Linked DNA regions of Drosophila melanogaster. The protein of the gene in region 1 purifies or fractionates together with the protein of each later gene. This does not show direct contact. Each region holds a gene or a part of one and is shown in the gene's direction. Other genes may lie near its edges.

Region 1 (5,018 bases):
GAACATGACTCACCTATCCAGTTTTCAGCCAGCGAGTGAGCGAAATCCACAATGATGACCAGCTGGACGAGTATGAAGGCCAGGCCACCAATTAGACCCACCCACATCATGGCCGGACCAAAGGATCCATCCGGAATAAAGATGGCTCCAATCGCAGCGCCAAAGCAGATCAGAAATTTCAGTGGCCAAAAGTTGTTCTGGATGTGCGAACGCGGATCCCTGGAGCTCTTCACACCCAGCATAATCAGTGACATCAGAGCGAAAAAGCAGGCCATGCCAAAGCAAACCCTATATACTGCCATGTAACCAAGTGCATACTCGCAGTCGACTTGCAGAGATCCTCCCGAGACAGCGCTGAGTGCTCCCGAGCTATACGACGAGGTGGAGTTGATGCAGAAGGGCATCTTCTTCAGGGTGTCCTGCAGTCCAGGGGACAGCGCAATCGCCCCCAGTACGGTGCCCACCAGGAGGATGAAGGCGTACATGAAGCGCGATGAGGAGGCGTTGGTGCAGCTCGGGCAGGCGGAGCAGCACATGCTGGCTGCAGTGCCTCCACAGCACATGGCGCACTGGAAATGCAAGAATTAAGTATTAAATGGAGACGCAATTGAAGAATTATTCTATTTGATCCAACTTGCTAATAAGTTTTGTCAATAATCCGGATTAATTGAATGATCAACCATCGAAAGTTAAGTTTGCAATACATTTTTCATATTGTTTTCAACTTATTAAAAATTTAAAAATTCATTAAAGTATCTAATAGCTCAAATTGCAAGCTAAATCTTTCTTTTAGATGAAAATCATAGCAGCATTCATGAGTATTGTGAAATTAATAAAATGTTGAATTTCTCCGCATTTGAAACATATGTCTGCTTTTATTGATTTGTAGCCAATGTAAAGAATTTTACCTGGCTAATTAGCTCGCAATTTTCTTACCTGAGCGGCTGAACAGATGCCCAAAGCAGCTCCCATTGTTGCAGCAATAAACTTAGATTTTTACTTTAGTCAAACTGCGTTTTTATTAAATTAAACAAATCTTTGTTTGTGAAAATGATAGAGATGGACTATTTACTGCCTATAGTGACTATCGAATACAGCGGCTGGCGATATTTTTCAGCAATCGTAAGCAGTTGTAAATTTAAAAGTAAATGGGATCAATTCTTTCGCATATTTGCATTTTAAAAATGCTCTTTCAATGTCTTAAATTTTTCAATATGTTTCAAATTTTAAAATTTATAGTTTTAAAATTGAAGTAAATTACTGCAATTTTCTGTACTTCCACAGTTGCCATGCTGATTTCTGCAAAAGTCGGGAGGTGCCATCCGTTCCCTATTCAAATTTCAAAACTTCTGCCACTCCCTCCCAGATGGCGCTTTGCAGTTTCTCAAAACAAAATAGTTTGTCTCCTAAAATAAACTAACAAACGTTATAAATAAACATAAAACATTATTGAAAGCTGAATGAGAGAGAAAGTTCAGATCAATTTTTGTGAATTAAATCATAAACTAATATTATATTTTGAATTAACTTAACTATTGTAACAGTTATTGATAGAGTCGAAATAGGTAATACAGAAAAAGGTTCTATTGATAGTAGTTTTAAAAGGGTATCTGTTCAGTCAACCAGCTAATATTACCGCTCATAAATCTTTAAATGTGTACATAAATGGAGATGTTCTTAATTTTAATAAATCTAGTCGCGAAACTCGAAACTTTACCTAAGGATCGAGAAAACATTTGTTCATAAATTGAGCGTAAGCATAATGGAATATTATTTAAAAAGTTACTTAATATCATTCTTTACTTGTGTTATAAATTAGTTGCTTATAATTTAGGTTGACTCCACAATTTTAAAATTTTTACTCATATAAGTTTTTATAAAATCTATTCCTTGATCTTAATTTCCAGTCACTGGAAGTGGGTTATTTTTAGTGCATCTGCACTCGGCCGATTGCATTCGAGAATACGTTCGCACGCGGCATCTGGCCACACTGCCTGCAACGCTAGCTCGCCTTCGCAACGCGAATCCGCTCATTTCAAATTTTCAAACTCCCGAGAGCGGTTGCGGCGGTGTCGAGACAGCGGCTCCTGAATCCATCCGAATCCGAAAGCGAATCGCATCCAGCCAAGATATCCTATCGTGCAGCTGAAACCCGAAACCCGAATCCGAGTTCGAAACGAAACGAATCGCAGTGGTGGTTTCTCTCTCGCTCTCTAGCTCTCCCTCTCTCTCGCGTGTGTGTATGTGTGCGAGTGGCAGGAAAAGTGCGAAGCCGAAATCTTTTTAGCTGAAAGAAAGCGCAACTTCAATTAGCGAAAAGCAAGAGTAGCTAACAAAAAGAAAAGCGGATCGAAAAGTAAAGAAAAACAAAAAAAAAAAACAAAAGCAACAAATCGAAATGGCAAGCGAAGTGGCCCAAATACCCGCCGAGGAAACGCCCGCAGTGGCGGCGGCGGAAAAATCAGAGGAGCCGGAAAAGTCAGCGGCCCCGCCAGCGGACTCAGCGGCCGCTCCAGCTGCCGCCCCCGCAGTGGAGAAGGCTGAGGATGCCGATGGCGAGAAGAAGGACGGCGAGGCCGGAAAGCAGGACAAGCAGCAGGATGGCGAGGAGCCCAAAAAGGACGAGGCGGTGGCAGCACCCGTGGCGACCAAATCGGAAGCCCCGCCCGCCCAGAAATTCAATGTGCACAAGACCAACTTCGAGAAGGACATCATCTATCTGTACCAGTTCTCGCGCACCCCACTGCTGCCCTCCCTGTCGCCCTACTGCCTGAAGGTGGAGACCTGGCTGCGTCTTGTGGGCCTGAAATACGAGGTGAGTGGTGGTCATAAATCCGGGGAAAAAAACCATAGAAAATTCATGAAAACCTCATTATAAATCGAGCCATCATTTGGCATCCTTCAAAGTACCCAGGATAATTAGGGAAAACCCAAAAACGGACTAGGTAGAATCCCAGGAAGAGCCGAAAACTCTCAGATATTCCAGAAATCCCAGATTTTCAAGGCATTTTTGCGGTACAGATTTTTTCCCAGCTCCTGCGGGAGAGAGCGAGAGAGCTCGGGGAAGAGAGCCAGCGCCGCCATCATGGTGTGCTGCTAAGCCTGCCCGTGTGCATGTGTGTGTGTGACCTGCCCTGCCCCGTAACTGAAAAGGGATACATTTGTGCCGCCTTCCCTCTCTCTCCCAGCGCCCATGCCTGTGTGTGTGAACCTGTAGCCTGGTCCTTTGCGCGTGTGTGTGTGCACAGCGTATACATAAAATTTGTGTGTGCGCCGACGCCGCCCCTCACCCCTTCATCTCTTTGTGCTCCCCTTTGCAAAAGTCGTGCTTCAAATTTTGCACTTGCCGACTCTCTCCTTTTGTCTCGCTCCCTCTCTCGCCGTCTGCTCTTTGTCTTTTGTTGCTGCACTGTTTTTTTTTTATTTCACTTTTCTTTCGACTTCTTTTTGCACTGCACGAAAAGTTGTCATCTCTATGCGCTGCATGCATCTTTTCTTAGCATCTTCGAGATCCATGCAACTGTGCTCTCACTCCATCCACACAACAGCAAATTTTCTCTCTGTATACTTTAGCAGGAGCAGCAGCAGCAGCTTGTAATTGCTTTTAATAAAAATTGATGCAGTTTAAGCTGGACTCAGAAATAGCTGTCTCCCTCTTCGCCTTCCAACTCCCCTTCTCCTTTTCCCTTTCTTTTCTTATCCGTTAAGTAGCTGTAATAGTGTTGGGGGCTGGGTGGGGGGAGTGGCAGACAAACAACTGTCAACGACTTCCAATGGTGCCTTCCATTTTGGCTTGTTGTTTTTTCCTTCACTTTTTAAAGCGCGCGATGCGGTTTGCATATTTTTCATATTTTTTCTGTGCGAGAGGAAAAGCGTGTAGTATGTGGTAGTGGCCGGGGGAGAAATGGGTGCGGTCACCCGCACAAAAACTGGCGACGCAATTGCTGTTTAATCTTATTAATTACATTGGTTAATGAAAAACGAGCCCCTTGCGCGGAATGTTAATTGATGCCGTCGCCTTCCAGATGCCGATAAGCAATCGCCCCCATATGTTGCATTCCACGAAGCAATTATGATTGACAGTCCGTCAGTGGCCGCTTTTCGGCCCGCAGCTGGAAATTACTTTCCATTTTCACGATTATTCCCAATTCCACTGATAAGGCGCAGGCTGCCCAAAATACGGCGGCATTCGATTAGTAGGAAGGAGGGAGTGGGGGGTGGGTAAAAAAAAGAGTTCAACAAACTGGGGACCTTTGACATTTCTGGCATGGTTTGTTGTTGCTGCAGCGCGGCATTAATCATGGAAAAAAAGGGAGGGTGACTGACTGTAAATGCAACTGACTAAGCCAGTTTTCCCCCCTGCTGCTTGCGCTCGGCTGCATTTCTTGCCTGCTCTCCTCCTTTGTGTACACACATTCGTCAGTGTAAACAAGAGCAGAAGTTGTTTCTTTATTGATGATAAACCGAATGCATATTTTTTTCACACCACATTGAAGGCGGCGCCCATTAATAAGCACAGCAGCAACAACAACAACAACTGGGCATAAGTTTCGCTTTTGAGGCGGTGGCCCGCATTGCTAGCATTCCTGAGTGTCGCGCTCGTAGATTGTGCAATTAATTTACATTTTCTCTGCCATATGCATTGCGGGCACAGAGCGATTAAAATTCAAATGGAAATGCTGGCGCGCCATTGCATTTGTGCAATATTGCCGGGCTGCAATTTCAAGGTATTCTGGCAACGCTGCTGCCTCTCCTGCTGCAACTGTACATGTGCGAATGTGTGCGTATCGTATGTCCATGTGTGCGTGTGTGTGTATGTTGGGAGGAAATGGAGTTTTTTTGCTTCTCGTTTTTGTATTTTTTACGTTTTATAGCTGCCTTTGTTTTAATTAATAAACCGCATATTTGCATTTAAACAACACACAGTGGACGGCCTTTGTTGTTGCTCACTCGCTCCAGTGCAATTCTCCCGCTCTCGCTCTCTCTCTCTGGAACTTCTGTGCAAGGGTGTGGATACA
Region 2 (5,093 bases), on another chromosome or scaffold:
CAACCCAGAGATCAAATGGGCAAGTAAGCCACTAATACGTACATTTCAGATCAGGAATCTCCTTGGTGGGCGACCATACGAGGAGGGCGCGTTCGTTCATTTGTTCCGGGCGGCGCTCCGCTTCCGGAACGAGCGGCGGACAAACCGCCTGGTAGTCGCGTCCAACGCGGATTTTCTCTATGAAATGAAAATTTGTTTAAAGACCACATCGTGCGGAAAAAGACTACAGGTACTCACCTTCGTACTCAGACTGCTTGGCCTTGCTCTTGCCGTTCCGTTTGGTGGCTGGAAAAGGGAGACGGTACAGATAAGTGGGCTGAAGTGGCAGGAAGGTAATTCCGGGGCGTTTCACTTACAGTTGTCGTCGTCGGAGCTCTCCGGCGTGCCTGCACCTGGCACAGCTGTGGTGGTCTTCTCGTTCGCATTGGCGTTCCCGGAGTGGCCGCTGTTGTTGCCGCTGCCCACGAGGCTGGCGCTGTTGGTGACGCCGCCCGTGGTGTGCGTATTGGGACTGGGGCCGCGCGAACGGCGCCCGTTGCGCACCACATCCGTGGTGTTGCGCTCCGCCAACACCATCTTGTCCCGGATGAGCTGGGCGCGCTTGTTATGCTTCTCCAGGGTGCTAGTTTTGGCTAAACACGAGCACTAGCGAACACGAGCACTGCGGAGCTGCAAGAACAGTGGGGACATGTGTTAACGACTGATTCGGACACGGATGACAGCCGTACTCTGCTCTCCGGCTGAAAAATCCAGCAAATAGAAACTCTGCACCGCGTTTGGCGAGAGTGTGCGCTTGGCAAGAGGCACTTTTCCCGCAACGAGCGCAGAAGTGCGCTGTCAAACAGATACATTCATAAGTGTGCGTGCGTCCGTGTGAGCGTATGCGCGTGTATTGCGTGTGCTAGCGACGCGTGTATAGGTGTATGGGTGAGGGCCAAGCCAGCTGAGTTTGGAAACGGCAATGCATTTGGATTTGAATGCAGGAATCCGAATCTGGCTGGACGGAGGGACACGGAGGGACTCGGAGGACGCCTACCTGGTACTCTGGTGCCCCACAAGCACACAACCGAAGACGCTGCCACACGGATCTCACTGCACGTACCGTTTTCGCCCGCTTACGCAGTACGGCCTGCCGGACGCGGAGCTGGGGCTACTTGGAAAGGAGTACTCTTGGCCAGAAACTCCAGATACGGAACGCTGCGAACGGCTGGTCAGTGGAGTTGTTGCGCGCAGGTAACTGAAATCCAAACTGAAACGCGGAAAAAAAAACTCACTCGCGTACCGATTCTCTCTGGTCGTCCGTGGGCACAGCGCACTTTGTCGCCGACGACCGCAGTTCAGCTTTGTCTGTCGGTTGATCCGATTTTTTGCCCTCGCCTGGCTTCTCGACAGGCGGCCCCTTGGATTATCCTATCCCCGTTTTCGTTGGAGATCGAGAAACGGCTTCGCTTGCCCCTTTTTGATGGACACTCTCAGCACTTTTTCTAGAATATACGTCAGAAAACTGAGCGAATGCTCAAATTAATTTAAACTGTGGCTGTAGCAGCCACGGTTGCAAGGGATACACAAACTATCGATTAGGCCGCTCCGATATTTCGCTTTTGCCCTGTACAGGGATGCCACACGGCAGGCTGTACTGAATTTCGGGCAGACGACATCGATATTCGACATCTGTTTATTCACAGCCAACTTTAATGTGGTTTTACGCCATACATATGATGCTCGTACAGCAATTATGTGACTGATGCAAGCGAGAGCATACAAATACGGGGATATGGGTGATTTGTAATTCCACCCCCATCTGAGCGCAGTCCAGGTGGCAACGACGCTGCCCCCGCATGCCTATCGACCGATATACCGCAGATTCGCCAGTTTTCCGCAAGGTGGCGACTACGGCGGGCGCAGACTAAAAAGACAGACTTTTTTCTATATAATATACGGCAGGAATCAGTGCAAAAACCGATCCAACGCAATGGCTGCTAGATTCATACAGAAAATTGTAAGACCCGTTTAGGCTTAAGCGACTTGACCCGCCCCGCGTCGCGCCTCTTAACCCCACCATACAGCGACCAAACCAATTCTGCAGGACAGCAGTTGATTACGTGCTGGCCAAAAAGTACTGGCCAACTACCACTAACATTGCGATTTTGTTTCTCGTCCGACGCTCCTGCCCTCCAACTCCACGCCCGCTAACCAACCCTGCAAACCACCGATGCAATGATCTGCGATTCCGCGATTCCCAACGACAACAACACATTACGCAAAACACTTGCAGCTCAATCAACTGGGTTTGATTGCAGCGCGTGATGCTCCGGCGGTGACTGCGACGCCAGCAGTGAGCCAGGTTGGTTCCATAACAGCGGCGGCAGCGACGGAACCATCCGGGATCCGCAGTGGGGGCCACCACCTCCTTCGCCAGGACATCAGCTGTCCGTCCGGCGAAAACGAAAAGAGCACAGCATTAGAATTCGCATTCACTTTACATAACACTCTCTCTCTCGCTCCCTCGTTGCGTGGCCGAGATATCGATAACGGCGGGCAGGGCGGGTGGTTCGGACCCTCGAAAATCCCACCCCCTACTCGAGAGGCGGGAAAAAATCAGTTACCGAGATTGGGCCCTGATTTGCGGCCTTATCAGCGCCGTGGGAATCATTTGTGCACTCTAACCTCAACGCGACGAACTGTTTGGCACGGGGGGTAGGGCGGACGGGATTTTTGTTTGGCATGGGCACTTATGTAATCCCGCTAGATGCTGCTGCTGTTGCTGCTGCCCATCTATGCGTTTTCTCGCCACCATTTCTGTAGATCACTCTGTAACCCGCCTATGGTCTTGCTATTTTCCAGGTCAACGCGACTCCCGCCGCCAGCCGGTCCTACTCCTCCGGCACCAAGAAAGTCACCCTCATCCCTGGCGATGGCATCGGACCTGAGATCTCTGCGGCCGTGCAGAAAATCTTCACCGCCGCCAATGTCCCCATCGAGTGGGAGGCCGTGGACGTGACCCCCGTCCGGGTAAGTGTCGTAATCCCAGCCAGAGTTAGTGGTTCAACTTGACATTTCAAATCCAAGTTGAGCGCCATCGCCTTCGAAGCGCGTGGCCGTTTGACAACAGGTGGCAACTACGGTCGTCTGGGCGGTAAATTTGAAATACAACCAGGCTCTAGTTAACATTCCATTGCCATATATTCGATATAAATGCCAAATCAATGGATACGAATCCATGCAATATTTTCGCCAAATATTAATTTGCTCTGTTAAAAGCCAAAAAAAAAATGCATACATATGTCGGAGAAGACGACACATATATAAAACAATTTGCGAGCTAGCTTTATTTATTTACTTCTTATTTCATTTGTGCGTGACATGTTAACAGGGACCCGACGGAAAGTTCGGCATCCCACAGGCCGCCATTGACTCGGTGAACACGAACAAGATCGGCCTGAAGGGTCCTCTGATGACGCCCGTCGGCAAGGGCCATCGGTCTCTGAATCTGGCCCTGCGCAAGGAGTTCAATCTGTACGCCAACGTGCGTCCCTGCCGCAGTCTCGAGGGCTACAAGACGCTGTACGACGATGTGGACGTGGTCACCATCCGTGAGAACACCGAGGGCGAGTACTCCGGCATCGAGCACGAGATCGTCGACGGCGTCGTTCAGAGCATCAAGCTGATCACCGAGGAAGCCTCCAAGCGTGTGGCCGAGTACGCCTTCCAGTACGCCAAGAACAACAACCGCAAGAAGGTCACCGTGGTGCACAAGGCGAACATTATGTAAGTTGGCCACGAGAGCTACTCTTTTTTGTTGTTGTGAAACTAATGCTATTTTCCTACCATTTCTCACAGGCGCATGTCCGATGGTCTCTTCCTGCGCTGCGTCCGCGACATGGCCCAGAAGTTCCCAGAAATCCAGTTCGAAGAGAAGTATCTGGATACGGTGTGCCTGAACATGGTCCAGAACCCCGGAAAATACGACGTGCTGGTGAGTTGAATTACGCAGTCGCTAAAGTATAGTATCAGCGACTAAGCTAATGCCGTCTCCATAATGCCAGGTCATGCCCAATCTGTACGGTGATATTCTGTCTGACATGTGCGCCGGTTTGGTGGGCGGCCTCGGCCTGACGCCCTCCGGCAACATGGGCCTGAACGGTGCCCTGTTCGAGTCTGTGCACGGAACCGCCCCCGATATTGCCGGCAAGGACCTGGCCAATCCCACTGCCCTGTTGCTGTCGGCGGTCATGATGCTGCGCCACATGGAGCTCAACACGTACGCCGATAAAATCGAGCGTGCCGCCTTCGAGACCATCAAGGAGGGCAAATACCTCACCGGCGATCTGGGCGGCCGTGCCAAGTGCTCCGAGTTCACGAACGAGATCTGTGCCAAGCTGTAGACGACGGATCACGGACCATCCGCATAAGCTGTAGCAAGTATCGCCAACCATAACAACAACCGATGAGAACAGAGCAGAGAATTACGCCAGGAATATTGCGCAGAGAAGGAGGATGATGCAGTATGAACAACAGCAATTAAACACTCGCCCCAAACCAAAAAAAAAAAAAAAATGTAGCAGCAGCAGCAGCAACAGCAACAACAGCACTCACTAAACTTTGCCGAAAGTTTCCTACGTTTCCTACCTTTTTACAAATTGTGCCAGCAGCACCGCTCGCCCCGAAAACAACAACAAAATTTCTATATAGCTAACACTACCTAAAGTATTTTTATGTTCGAATACCTAGGTATATTATTTAATTTGCTTAGGCCAAACTTGCAAGCGTTAAAATTCGTTAAATTGCCAATTTTACTTGCGATAGTAAAGTATTTTTGTCGCCATCCAGCCAACACCTTGAGTTATTATTGTTTATATAATTCGTATGCAAAATGATAATCTTATTTAATTTATTGATTATTAATTCTCTAATTTGTTTAGCCCCTTGAGTTGAGTTCAGTTGAGTTAAGTGAGCTCCTTGTGCTGTGCAGCGTGCAGCCGATACTCTTAAAAAAGAATAGAAAGCAATTTTTTGTCAAATTCGAGGCAAAACGTGTGAACGTGAAGCCAGGACTAGTGGAAAGTTGAGTGCAAACGGTTACAATAATTTAA
Region 3 (3,876 bases), on another chromosome or scaffold:
TAGGGAGGCCATCGCTGGGGTCTTTGCCTTCTGGCGGGACGCACTCGAGATCCCGCCCCAGTGCGAAGTGTTTGATCCCTACCGAATTAAGCGAGTGTTTCCCCAATCGGAGTACTACTATAACATCTCGTGGAGTGGACTCCACTCCACTAACAAATTATTCTGCGACTTTTACTACGTTGAACTGGACAAAGTATGCGCCCGACATCGCAAGGCTGTGGCCAACTACCTGGCCATGAAGCTGCTCTATAGATTCGATCCCAAACTGAAGGCGCCCAGGTACCAAAGGAACTACTGTTCGGTTACGCTTTATCAATCCATGCGGTTTCTGTTCAACAAACTCTACATGGCTGTGGGTAACGAATGCGTATGATGAGAATACCAAATAATCTCAACACTCTTGTGTTACAGAACAACTTCAGTGAGGCGAAGAGGCTGGAGATGTCGGAAATGGTGCGGGAACTGCGAAAGAGTCTGCGAAAGGCGCTGGAGGATGCCGATTGGCTGGATGCGGAGAGCAGGGCGAGGGCACTGCTTAAGGAGTCCAGAATACAGCCACGCATTGGTTCGTTCCAAGATGATGCACTTTCGGATCGAATAATCCGGGAAATCAACAGTCTGAAAGTCATCGAGGATCGCTATGCGGAGACCAACATTAATTTGCAGCACCTAGTTGTACAAATCAATCGATTTAGCAGTCGGCATTTTCAGGAGCTGACCAATGACACCAAGCCACAGAAGATCCTGACAGGATTGCAGGTTGGAGCGGGCTACTACACTCCGGACAACTCCATTAATGTGATGGCTGGCGTGGTGGAACCACCGATATACCAACGCCACCTGCCGATTTCCCTGAAATTCGGCACATTGGGTTTTATCGTTGGTCATGAACTCATCCACGGCTTCGATACGACCAGCTCCTATTTCGATGGCAATGGTCACATGGAGTCCTTGTTGTCGGAAATTTCGCAACAGGCATTAGAGGATCGCGCCGAGTGCTACATGGACTACTATGGCAAGTACCAGGTACCGGAGATCAGCAGGCGTGTCAACGGAAAAACTACACTGGACGAGAATATCGCAGACAATAGCGGATTAAGACAAGCATTGACGGCCTATCGCAGTCACAGGCAGCAACTGCTGGAGCATCCTGGGCAGGAGAGGATAAGCGACGCCATGCCGGGTCTCGATCTCACGCCGGAACAGTTGTTCTTCCTGGGATTTGCCCAGCTATTTTGCTCCCATTACGAGGAGGAGCACTACTGGAAAGGTCTTAGCGATGTGCACACCTTCGACCAATTTCGTGTCCTGGGAGTTTTGTCCAACAGCGAGGACTTCTTCCACGCCTACAACTGCTCCGTGGGCAGCGGCATGCGTCCTGGCGCCAAAACGTGCCGACTTTGGTAGATCATAGATTTATAATCATCATCATAAATTCCTTGAACCAAATAAAAGTTGATTTCAATACTTTTTACCGACAATGTAAAATGTTTTGACACAACACTTCAAATTTACGTTACACGTAACAAGCTAACATTTGTGGTTTGAGTACAACTATCGAAGTTTCGCACCCCAGAGCACCGTTCAAATTTAGTCACATCTCCGCAGCGCGCTCGGTAACTCTGTTTCTCATGTCAATTTTGTGCATGACAATTTTGTTCAACAGAAACTGCCTTTTTTTGTAACCAAGTCAGGCTGTCAGTCAGAAGTGTTCCGACTTCGTAAAACATAAACCAACAATTCACAGCAACAACATAATGTCGGCAGCAGCAGGGTGAGTCCACAACCGGCCATCTCAGTGCCAATCGGCGATAGCCGGACCATCTTTTTGTGGCTTCTTTGTGCGTCGCGTGCTTTGTCGTTGCGGCGGCGTCCATTTTCGAACTCCCGGCCGTGAAAAACACATAATTTTCGTTCGGATGACCCTTATTCTCGCGCTCATCCGCCTGGCCAAGCGTTTGTGTCCACGGTGGGCGTGTCCTGTGCGCATCTGCATTGCGATATTTGTGGAACTAATCGGAGGGTCCAGTGTTTGAGGTTATGTTTTCGGCTGGCGGTAATGCCGTGCATTTTCGGCATGGACTTTTGCCTGGGCTTATGGTTTATGCAAATCTAGCTAGCTGGGAAGCTATTTACATAGTTCGTGCACCCGCTTCCAGAAAGTCCGACGCGAGTTGCCATGGCAACGGATCTCGCACAACGACATGAAGCTCTTATTTATGTTTATCCAACTTGATCCTCCATTGCAGCTTGATTCCGCCTCCAGTTTCCTGGGCCCAGCGCAATGACTTGATCTACGTCATCATCGATGTCGAATGCAAGGACATCGAACACAAGTATATGCCCCCATATGTAGTATGTCCATGCTCCTTGCACATCCTAATTCCATATATTTATCCCAAAACAGAGTTACGGAAAAAACCTTCACCTTCAAGGGCGTAAACGTGCTGGATCCGTCGAAGAAGTACGAGGTCACACTGAACTTCCTCCACGAGGTGGATCCCGAGAAGGTGACCAGCAAGAACATTGGCCGCTGCCTGGAATTCACAATACCCAAGAAGGCGGCCGGTCCCTACTGGTCCTCGCTGACCACGGACAAGACCAAGTTGCATTTCCTAAAAGCCAACTTTGCCAAGTGGCGCGATGAGTCCGACGACGAGGAGGGTAAGTTGACATCCTCATCCCCAAGATCTCATCCAGCAAACCCACTCATACAAACGCACTTTGCAGGTGACCAAAAAGACAACAGCATGTTTGGAAATTTCCTTAACAGCCCTGGTGGCGATTGGAACAACAAGTTCGACGATTTCAACGTCGATGACGAGGAGGAGGACTCGGATGACAACATCCCAAGTCTGTCCCAGAACGACGAGGATGACGAGGAGGGCGGCGAGGGTGATAAGGAGAAGAAGCCAGCTGCCTAGACGGTCGCTCAGATGGTGTCTCGCAATTTGGCGTAGTCGTAGCGTTAGGCGTGGCTCTTATACCATAAGTCAGCACACGATCACAACACTCACTCCTCACATACACACCAGAAAAGAAAAAGAAGAAACACTCAATCACTCATAAAACATCCACAAACGCATGCGTACATGAAACACTATTCCAATCGAAGAAAACCACATTTAATATACCTGAATATTATGCGTATTCAGAGGAGAGATGTTAACAAAAAGCAACACAAGGAACAAGATGATTTGGCGCCGACAAGGGAAACCATAAGTTTTACGCTAGAATTTAACAACCAGAGGAAAGCTACAACCAATTTATTGCAAAAATCAGTTTGCAGTTTATTATTTTTGTTTCCTGTAAATAAAGGAAATTAACAATAAAAAAAATGAAAAACTTATATTCGGCTTTTTATTTTCAATATTTTATAAGTTTACAACATTCTATAAATGTTCTAGAAATCTCTAAACTGTTAAATTCGGAATGCGCAGTCCAGCTTCTTAAAGATGTCGCAAAGAAGGCTTTATCTTTGAATAGATAGCGATTTTAAAAAGAAATTATAGGTAATGGTTAAAAATTGTTTATGGGTAATCCCCTAGAATTTGGGTTTAAAATTAACATAGGTATTTTTTTCTTTAAATTTTGCGCCCACTTAAATGAATTTTGTTATGTTGGCAACACTGTTGCTGTGACAACGCGGGAAAGAAGAAGCACAATTGAAATGCAAAGCAAACAAACAGTTATCACTCGAAATAAAGGACTTGCTGTCAAGCGATAGAACGGAAAAGCAAGGTATAAGATTCCCCTCAAAACGATACCATGAAACCCGCTGCGATTCCGGCTAGCGAGCGGCGTCTGGCCTTCGTGGCCGAGTGGTTCCATGCAGAGGCTGGAATCATACGCACCTTTCTGATCACCTACTATGTA
Region 4 (5,928 bases), on another chromosome or scaffold:
GCACCAGGTTGGTCAGATCGCCGCCATCGTCCAGGATCATGTTCAGGGGCTGGCCGTCGGGGAAGACCAAGGTCTGCTCGATGCACCACATGTACTCCTCATCGGTCTCACCCTTCCAGGCGTACACGGGCACGCCGGTGGCAGCGATGGCCGCGGCAGCATTATCCTGGGTGCTGAAGATGTTGCAGCTGGACCATTGGACCTGGATAAAAGAATGAAAATGTAGTTCATGCGTTGAAGTTGAGATGTGGATGGGAAGGAACCTAAATTATATAGATATTTGCAAACTGATTTGCATTGCATATAGGATTGATCTATATCAGGAAATCTATGTATTTCAGGACATCAGCATTTGGCAGAAAATAGTTGCCATGTGCGAGGATTGAAGCAGATGGTGCTGCGTCAGAGGAAATAACAATCTGGAGGTCTTATCTTGGGCGCCTTGAACTTGCCCCCCTGCTGTTAAACGAAAGTTTTGTTATTCAAATTGGTGCGTAAACCAAAGGTGATAAGGGACCAGCCCTTGGACAATGCTTGGAGATACCTATCTTTCTACCTAATTTACAATTTCCTTACGGAATTTTGGTCGGTTTTATGGTTTTTGAAATGGTTTTTAGTATTGAAATGATGCTATCTTTGTGTATTATCCCGACTGTTCAGACCTACAGTTGGGCATACAATTCGAATGGTGGTACGATGCATAAAATCATTTAGAGCGCCAAAGAGGCACTGAACCCACCTGAGCGCCCAGTTCGACGAGGGTCTCGATGAGCACGGCGGTCTGGACGGTCATGTGCAGGCAGCCGGTGATGCGGGCGCCCTTGAGGGGCTTAGATGGGCCGTACTTCTTCCTGCAGGCCATCAGACCGGGCATCTCGTTCTCCGCAATAATGATCGCCTTGCGTCCCCATTCCGCCAGACTGATATCGGCTGTCGAGTGGGATATAAAAGGGAGATAGGGTCAGATAAGCAGGCACTGTTGATTTATACACCATACGGTCTGAATTTCTACGTTTTTTGCCCCAGCAACAACGTGCTCTCCTCTGTTTTGTCTCTCTTTTAACCTCAGAAACATGTGCTCATGAATAGATGCAATTCACCCGCACATGTCGCCTGTTGCCGGCCGGAGATTCGATTCGAGAGTTTGCCATCCGTTTGGGTTTATTTATAACGCAACTCACCGACTTTGTAGCTGGGCTTCGACATTCTTGCAAGGATTGGATGTTTGACTTGGATGCGGAGCAGACAGAATCGCACACAACCGAATTGGAGACGCGGGCAGCGGTAAATGAATCGAATCGCAACCCAAGACACTAGAATTCCAATTGCGGAATGGCGGCCCCAGGGATGGGAACTGGTTCCACGCAGCTGGTTCAGCTGGAGCAGTTCCGATTGGCACGATTGTTGCCATTTAAATTTAAAATTCATATGATAACTGCTGGTTTACATCCAATTGTATATAGAATCTTTTCTTTTTGCTATCATTTTAATAAAATGTATTAATAGGTCCTAAAAAATCAGACCATTGTATACCAGTTATTCACATTTTTCAGAATTCTAGATTAATGTTAAATGTGTTAAATAATAAGTTTTTCTGCCAAAATGAATTTAATATGTAATTCAAATAACATTAATTCTTTAAAGTAATTCTTTCGATATTTGAGGCCTACACTTTGATTCCCAACGAAAGCTTATCGATGCTGAACCATCACTAAAACCGACATCGATAACTGAGCAGAGTCTTAGGGAAAATATACACAGCGAAAAGCAAAGTGCGAGTCAGTGCGTTTTTCTGGTCATTGAACAGCCGTATCCAAAGTAGAATTCCCATGTCCGGCTCCGGTCTCGACGAGAATCCCTTCGGGGAGCCCAATCTGGACAATCCGTTTGCGGTGAGGCGATAGAAGAGCTAGGAGAGAGAGCGCGGAAGCCGAAGAAAAAACCCATCGCACACACACGCACACGTACGCAAAGGTGGGGTGTTGGTGTGCGTGCCTGTGAGTGTAGTGTGTGTGTGTGTTGGGTGCATTCGTCACATATGTTGAATGAATTGGTTTCTGATTGGGATTTCCCGGTTTTCCCCCGCAGGACCCCGCCATCCAGCAGGCACGACGACTCCAGAGCGGCGCCGCCCTTGTCTCTCTTGAGGATTACAATCCATTCGAGGAGCAGGCCAAGCCGCAGCTGCAGATCAACTCAACGAACACGGCGGCGGTGGTCCAGCCGCTATCGCAGAACATTCCGCCCCCGCAGACCAGTTCCCTGGGCGCCTCGGCGCCTAGCACCAGCATACAGATCACCTCGGAGGAGCTGCAGGTAACCCACTTGGCCGGTCGTCTCGCGTTACCGCCCACACAACAGTGAGCACTCTGCGGTGTGCTGTGCCGGCATGGCCACATCCGCAATACTCCAAAAACCGCATATGTACATCCAAATACTCGGAAACAATCGAAATGGACCACACCACACAGTTACACTAAAAGTTTGCCCTAAAAGTCTGTACAGTAATCACTTTGCTAGAGTGCCGGGATTAGGGCAGGCATATCACATTTTACTCTCCATCAAGAGTCAGAAAGATAAGCGGGCTTATCTCGATCTGCCAACGATATATCCGCTTTGGAGCATTTATCTGGTTGAGACTAGAAGCGGCTGCCGCGCCGAGTCTTCACTGTGCAAACTGCGGTTTCTCTTGATTTACTTGGCTTCTTCGGCCCTACACAATAATTCAAGAAATACTAGTTAGTAGATCTAAATACATATGATTTGGAGGCTTAAGTTTGCACTTTATTCTTGTACAGAATATTTCCTATAGATAGGCCAAATGCCTGAGGTTAAGATAGAAGTTTAACAAACTCAAGATTTGGATGTGAATTCCTATCATTGAATTTCGCCTTTGTTTTCCCAAATATGTAAATGAATAAGATTTAAAGTATTTACCATATACGGCCAATTTATTAAGTCATACAAAATGTATATATAAAACAGTCGATAATCATATGATTTTCATTGTATCCAGCGCCGGCAGGAGGAGTTGGACCGCAAGGCCGCCGAACTGGACCGCCGCGAGCAGCAGCTACAGGGCAATGTGCCGCAGCTGAACAACTGGCCACCGCTGCCGGATAACTTTTGTGTAAAGCCGTGCTTCTACCAGGACTTCGAGGTGGAGATACCGCCCGAGTTCCAGAAACTGGTCAAGCGATTGTATTACATTTGGATTTGTGAGTATTGGTTCTTTATGGCTGTGTTTTCTACATGTTTTCGCTGATAAGCGGTGCCATAGGTTGTGGAATTAGTCATCGCGTGTCGTCTACAGGCCGATGCCATTATTAATCAGATATAGCTGAATGGCTAATGGTCTTGGATGTGTGCGTGCCTTTGTGCAGAATATGCTTGCAAAGAGGGGAGCATGAAATTTGTTTGATTTACATGTTATCAGTATTAAGATAGTTTTTAAATGCATTTCTAGCATTATTTACTGCATGCATAGTATATAGTATATAATAATGCTTTCCCCTACAGATTATAGCATTATGCTGATTGTATGTGTCTATTTTGAATACTTTCTCCGACAGTTTACACCATGACGTTGTTGGCCAACGTGATAGGCGGTCTAATTTTGCTGTTCCACGCTGGCGAATTCGAGACCTTCTTCCTGGCCATCTTCTACACGATGCTCTTCTCGCCCGCCTCCTATGTCTGCTGGTGAGTTTATACCTGGAAGATTCTTAAAACATGAATAATGTGATGATGTGTGATTAATTTTCAGGTTCCGACCGGCGTACAAGGCATTCCGCAACGATTCGAGCTTCAACTTCATGGTCTTCTTCTTCATCTACTTCTTTCAAACGCTGTACTCGATTGTGCAGGCGGTGGGCTTCAACAAGATGGGCTACTGTGGCTTTATTACGGCCATCGGGCAGTTCGATGGGCAAGCGTCGGGTATTATCGTCGGCATTCTGCTGTTGAACGTGGCATTCTGTTTCACAGCGGTGGCCGTGGCCAATGTGCTGATGATCACAAAGATTCACTCGATCTACCGCAGCACAGGGGCCAGTATGGCCAAGGCCCAGGCGGAGTTCACCACCGAGTTTCTGCGCAACCAGCACGTCCAGGAAGCAGCCTCCTCGGCCGTTAATACGGCCATCAATTCGCAGTTTAACAACAGCAGGTACTAAGTGACACTCTGCTTTCCGGGGATCTAATCAAATCAAAAGGAGAATCAATCAATCAACCACGAACTCAAGCAGCACTCATCCTGCTTAACTGGGACAGAAAAAGATGATGATAGCCGCGCCAGAGAGAGGGAGATGGAGAAAGAACACTTAATAAACATTGAAATAGCTTAACACGAAATGAAAGTAAAGAAAAACATGAAACTAAAGCTAGCATTGGAGCATGGAACTAATAACTATTTGCTTTTGTGCATAAACAATTCCTAGAATGCCGTCGTCTTTATTACAAATAATTACTGTAATGATAACACAGAAACAACACACAATGCATAAACAATATTTATAAACGGAACAAAACCGAACTTGGAACTAAACTGAAAGTGAAAAAAAAACCAAACAAAAAGGAGAAAACAAAAAAACAAAAGGAAAACTAAAGCGGCCCACGATGCCTTCGACACGCAGCTGCAGCGGATCAAGTAGACAGGACATCTTAATCGCACGATATATGCCTCCAAATACAAGTATCTAGACTAAATTATTGTGTGTCTGTCTCTGTCCTGTGGAATAATTCGATTCTGATACTAACCCAGATTAATCAGGCGAAAGGGATGACACTGATGACGATGATGCTGCTGCTGCTGCTGCTGATGATGATGTTTTCTAGTTCTTTAAGTCATTAAAACGATATAGGAATAACCCCACTCCCTCGCACACGCAACACACACACACACACACACTCACATATATACGATCTTATATATATAACAAACATAATATAAATAATATATTTAACGCTTACATTATAGAACTTTATCTCTCGTCGCCTCGACCAGAGAGACAACAAGAAAGCGAAATTCATTTTTCATCCAAGCTGTGCTCCTACGCCCACTGCTCCACTGTCCCCCTCTCCTCCCTCCCCCCTGTTCCATGTCCCGACCCCCTTTTTCCGCCGTCACTGTCCTGCACTCACATAAAATGTCGTGTTTTTTTGTAATCGTAATTGTTATATATTATCTATTATCTATGTACATGAAGACAGCATATAAAATATATTGATTCACTTAAGTATTCACATTTTTTAGATACATTTTGTTCGTTTCTGTTTTGCTTGCAAGTCAAACTTATTATGTTACGACCTATTTAAAACTGAATTGAGAATAGCTAATGACGATCTATGGATGTGTATTTAAAATTCAAGCAAAATTTATGATAAATTCCAAAATAAATATAAAATACTTATAGATGTACAATAAGCATTGATTTTGAATTTATGGGTTGTTTGGTACTCATTTCTAGAGAATTCAAATGCATAATTTGGTGCGTAATTAAAGGGGTATAAAGACTTTTGAGATATTCATATTATTTATCTGCAAATCCCAGCCTTGAAACGCAATAATCAGGCTTAAATTCTTGGTTTATTACTGCTGGTTATCTGCATGGAGGTATTTACACAATTTATATAATAGATAGAACTGCCATCAATGCTTGTGTTTATATTAGTCAGTTTGCTTATAGATTTTAATCTTGAGTTTGTTTTGTATAAATAAATTCCAATAAAATTGAAAACCCCACAAAATGACTGGCAAATAGTTCGGATTACCGCCATAATCGACTCTTAATTAAGAGGAAATGTACAATGTCATTTAAAAGTGCACGAAGACCTTTGATTTCGAGAACTCATTCGATGGAAAATCAATTAGCAAGAAGAAAAGTTTACGTAAGCCAGTCGGTAATTAAGACGATTGAACATGGTCGA

The links.
Region 2: the proteins of fax (region 1) and Idh3a purify together in Drosophila melanogaster (affinity purification with mass spectrometry, with the first as the bait; one large-scale study listed by BioGRID). This does not show direct contact.
Region 3: the proteins of fax (region 1) and p23 purify together in Drosophila melanogaster (affinity purification with mass spectrometry, with the first as the bait; one large-scale study listed by BioGRID). This does not show direct contact.
Region 4: the proteins of fax (region 1) and Scamp purify together in Drosophila melanogaster (affinity purification with mass spectrometry, with the first as the bait; one large-scale study listed by BioGRID). This does not show direct contact.

The regions. Positions count from the first base shown.
Region 1 is NT_037436.4:16,408,799-16,413,816, reverse strand, and holds the start of fax (failed axon connections), read left to right. Parts: upstream 1-1,988; 5' UTR 1,989-2,398; coding exon 2,399-2,815; intron 2,816-5,018. Other genes in the region: Serinc (serine incorporator), read right to left, coding at 14-569, 937-972. UniProt on the Drosophila melanogaster protein: Together with Abl, involved in embryonic axonal development.
Region 2 is NC_004354.4:19,518,579-19,523,671, reverse strand, and holds Idh3a (isocitrate dehydrogenase 3a), read left to right. Parts: upstream 1-1,867; 5' UTR 1,868-1,972; coding exon 1,973-1,999; intron 2,000-2,275; coding exon 2,276-2,344; intron 2,345-2,844; coding exon 2,845-3,012; intron 3,013-3,373; coding exon 3,374-3,768; intron 3,769-3,840; coding exon 3,841-3,976; intron 3,977-4,046; coding exon 4,047-4,385; 3' UTR 4,386-4,541; downstream 4,542-5,093. Other genes in the region: CoRest, read right to left, coding at 43-177, 238-285, 357-576. UniProt on the Drosophila melanogaster protein: Probable catalytic subunit of the enzyme which catalyzes the decarboxylation of isocitrate (ICT) into alpha-ketoglutarate.
Region 3 is NT_033777.3:9,676,313-9,680,188, forward strand, and holds p23 (p23), read left to right. Parts: upstream 1-1,614; 5' UTR 1,615-1,757; coding exon 1,758-1,774; intron 1,775-2,249; coding exon 2,250-2,336; intron 2,337-2,407; coding exon 2,408-2,664; intron 2,665-2,730; coding exon 2,731-2,924; 3' UTR 2,925-3,346; downstream 3,347-3,876. Other genes in the region: Nepl12 (Neprilysin-like 12), read left to right, coding at 1-352, 412-1,407; nmdyn-D7, read left to right, coding at 3,769-3,876. UniProt on the Drosophila melanogaster protein: Cytosolic prostaglandin synthase that catalyzes the oxidoreduction of prostaglandin endoperoxide H2 (PGH2) to prostaglandin E2 (PGE2).
Region 4 is NC_004354.4:15,445,669-15,451,596, reverse strand, and holds Scamp (scamp), read left to right. Parts: upstream 1-1,713; 5' UTR 1,714-1,829; coding exon 1,830-1,892; intron 1,893-2,088; coding exon 2,089-2,316; coding exon of another isoform or gene 2,317-2,364; exon of another isoform or gene 2,365-2,738; intron 2,739-3,016; coding exon 3,017-3,218; intron 3,219-3,572; coding exon 3,573-3,702; intron 3,703-3,766; coding exon 3,767-4,175; 3' UTR 4,176-5,418; downstream 5,419-5,928. Other genes in the region: Ahcy (adenosylhomocysteinase), read right to left, coding at 1-202, 740-930, 1,182-1,206.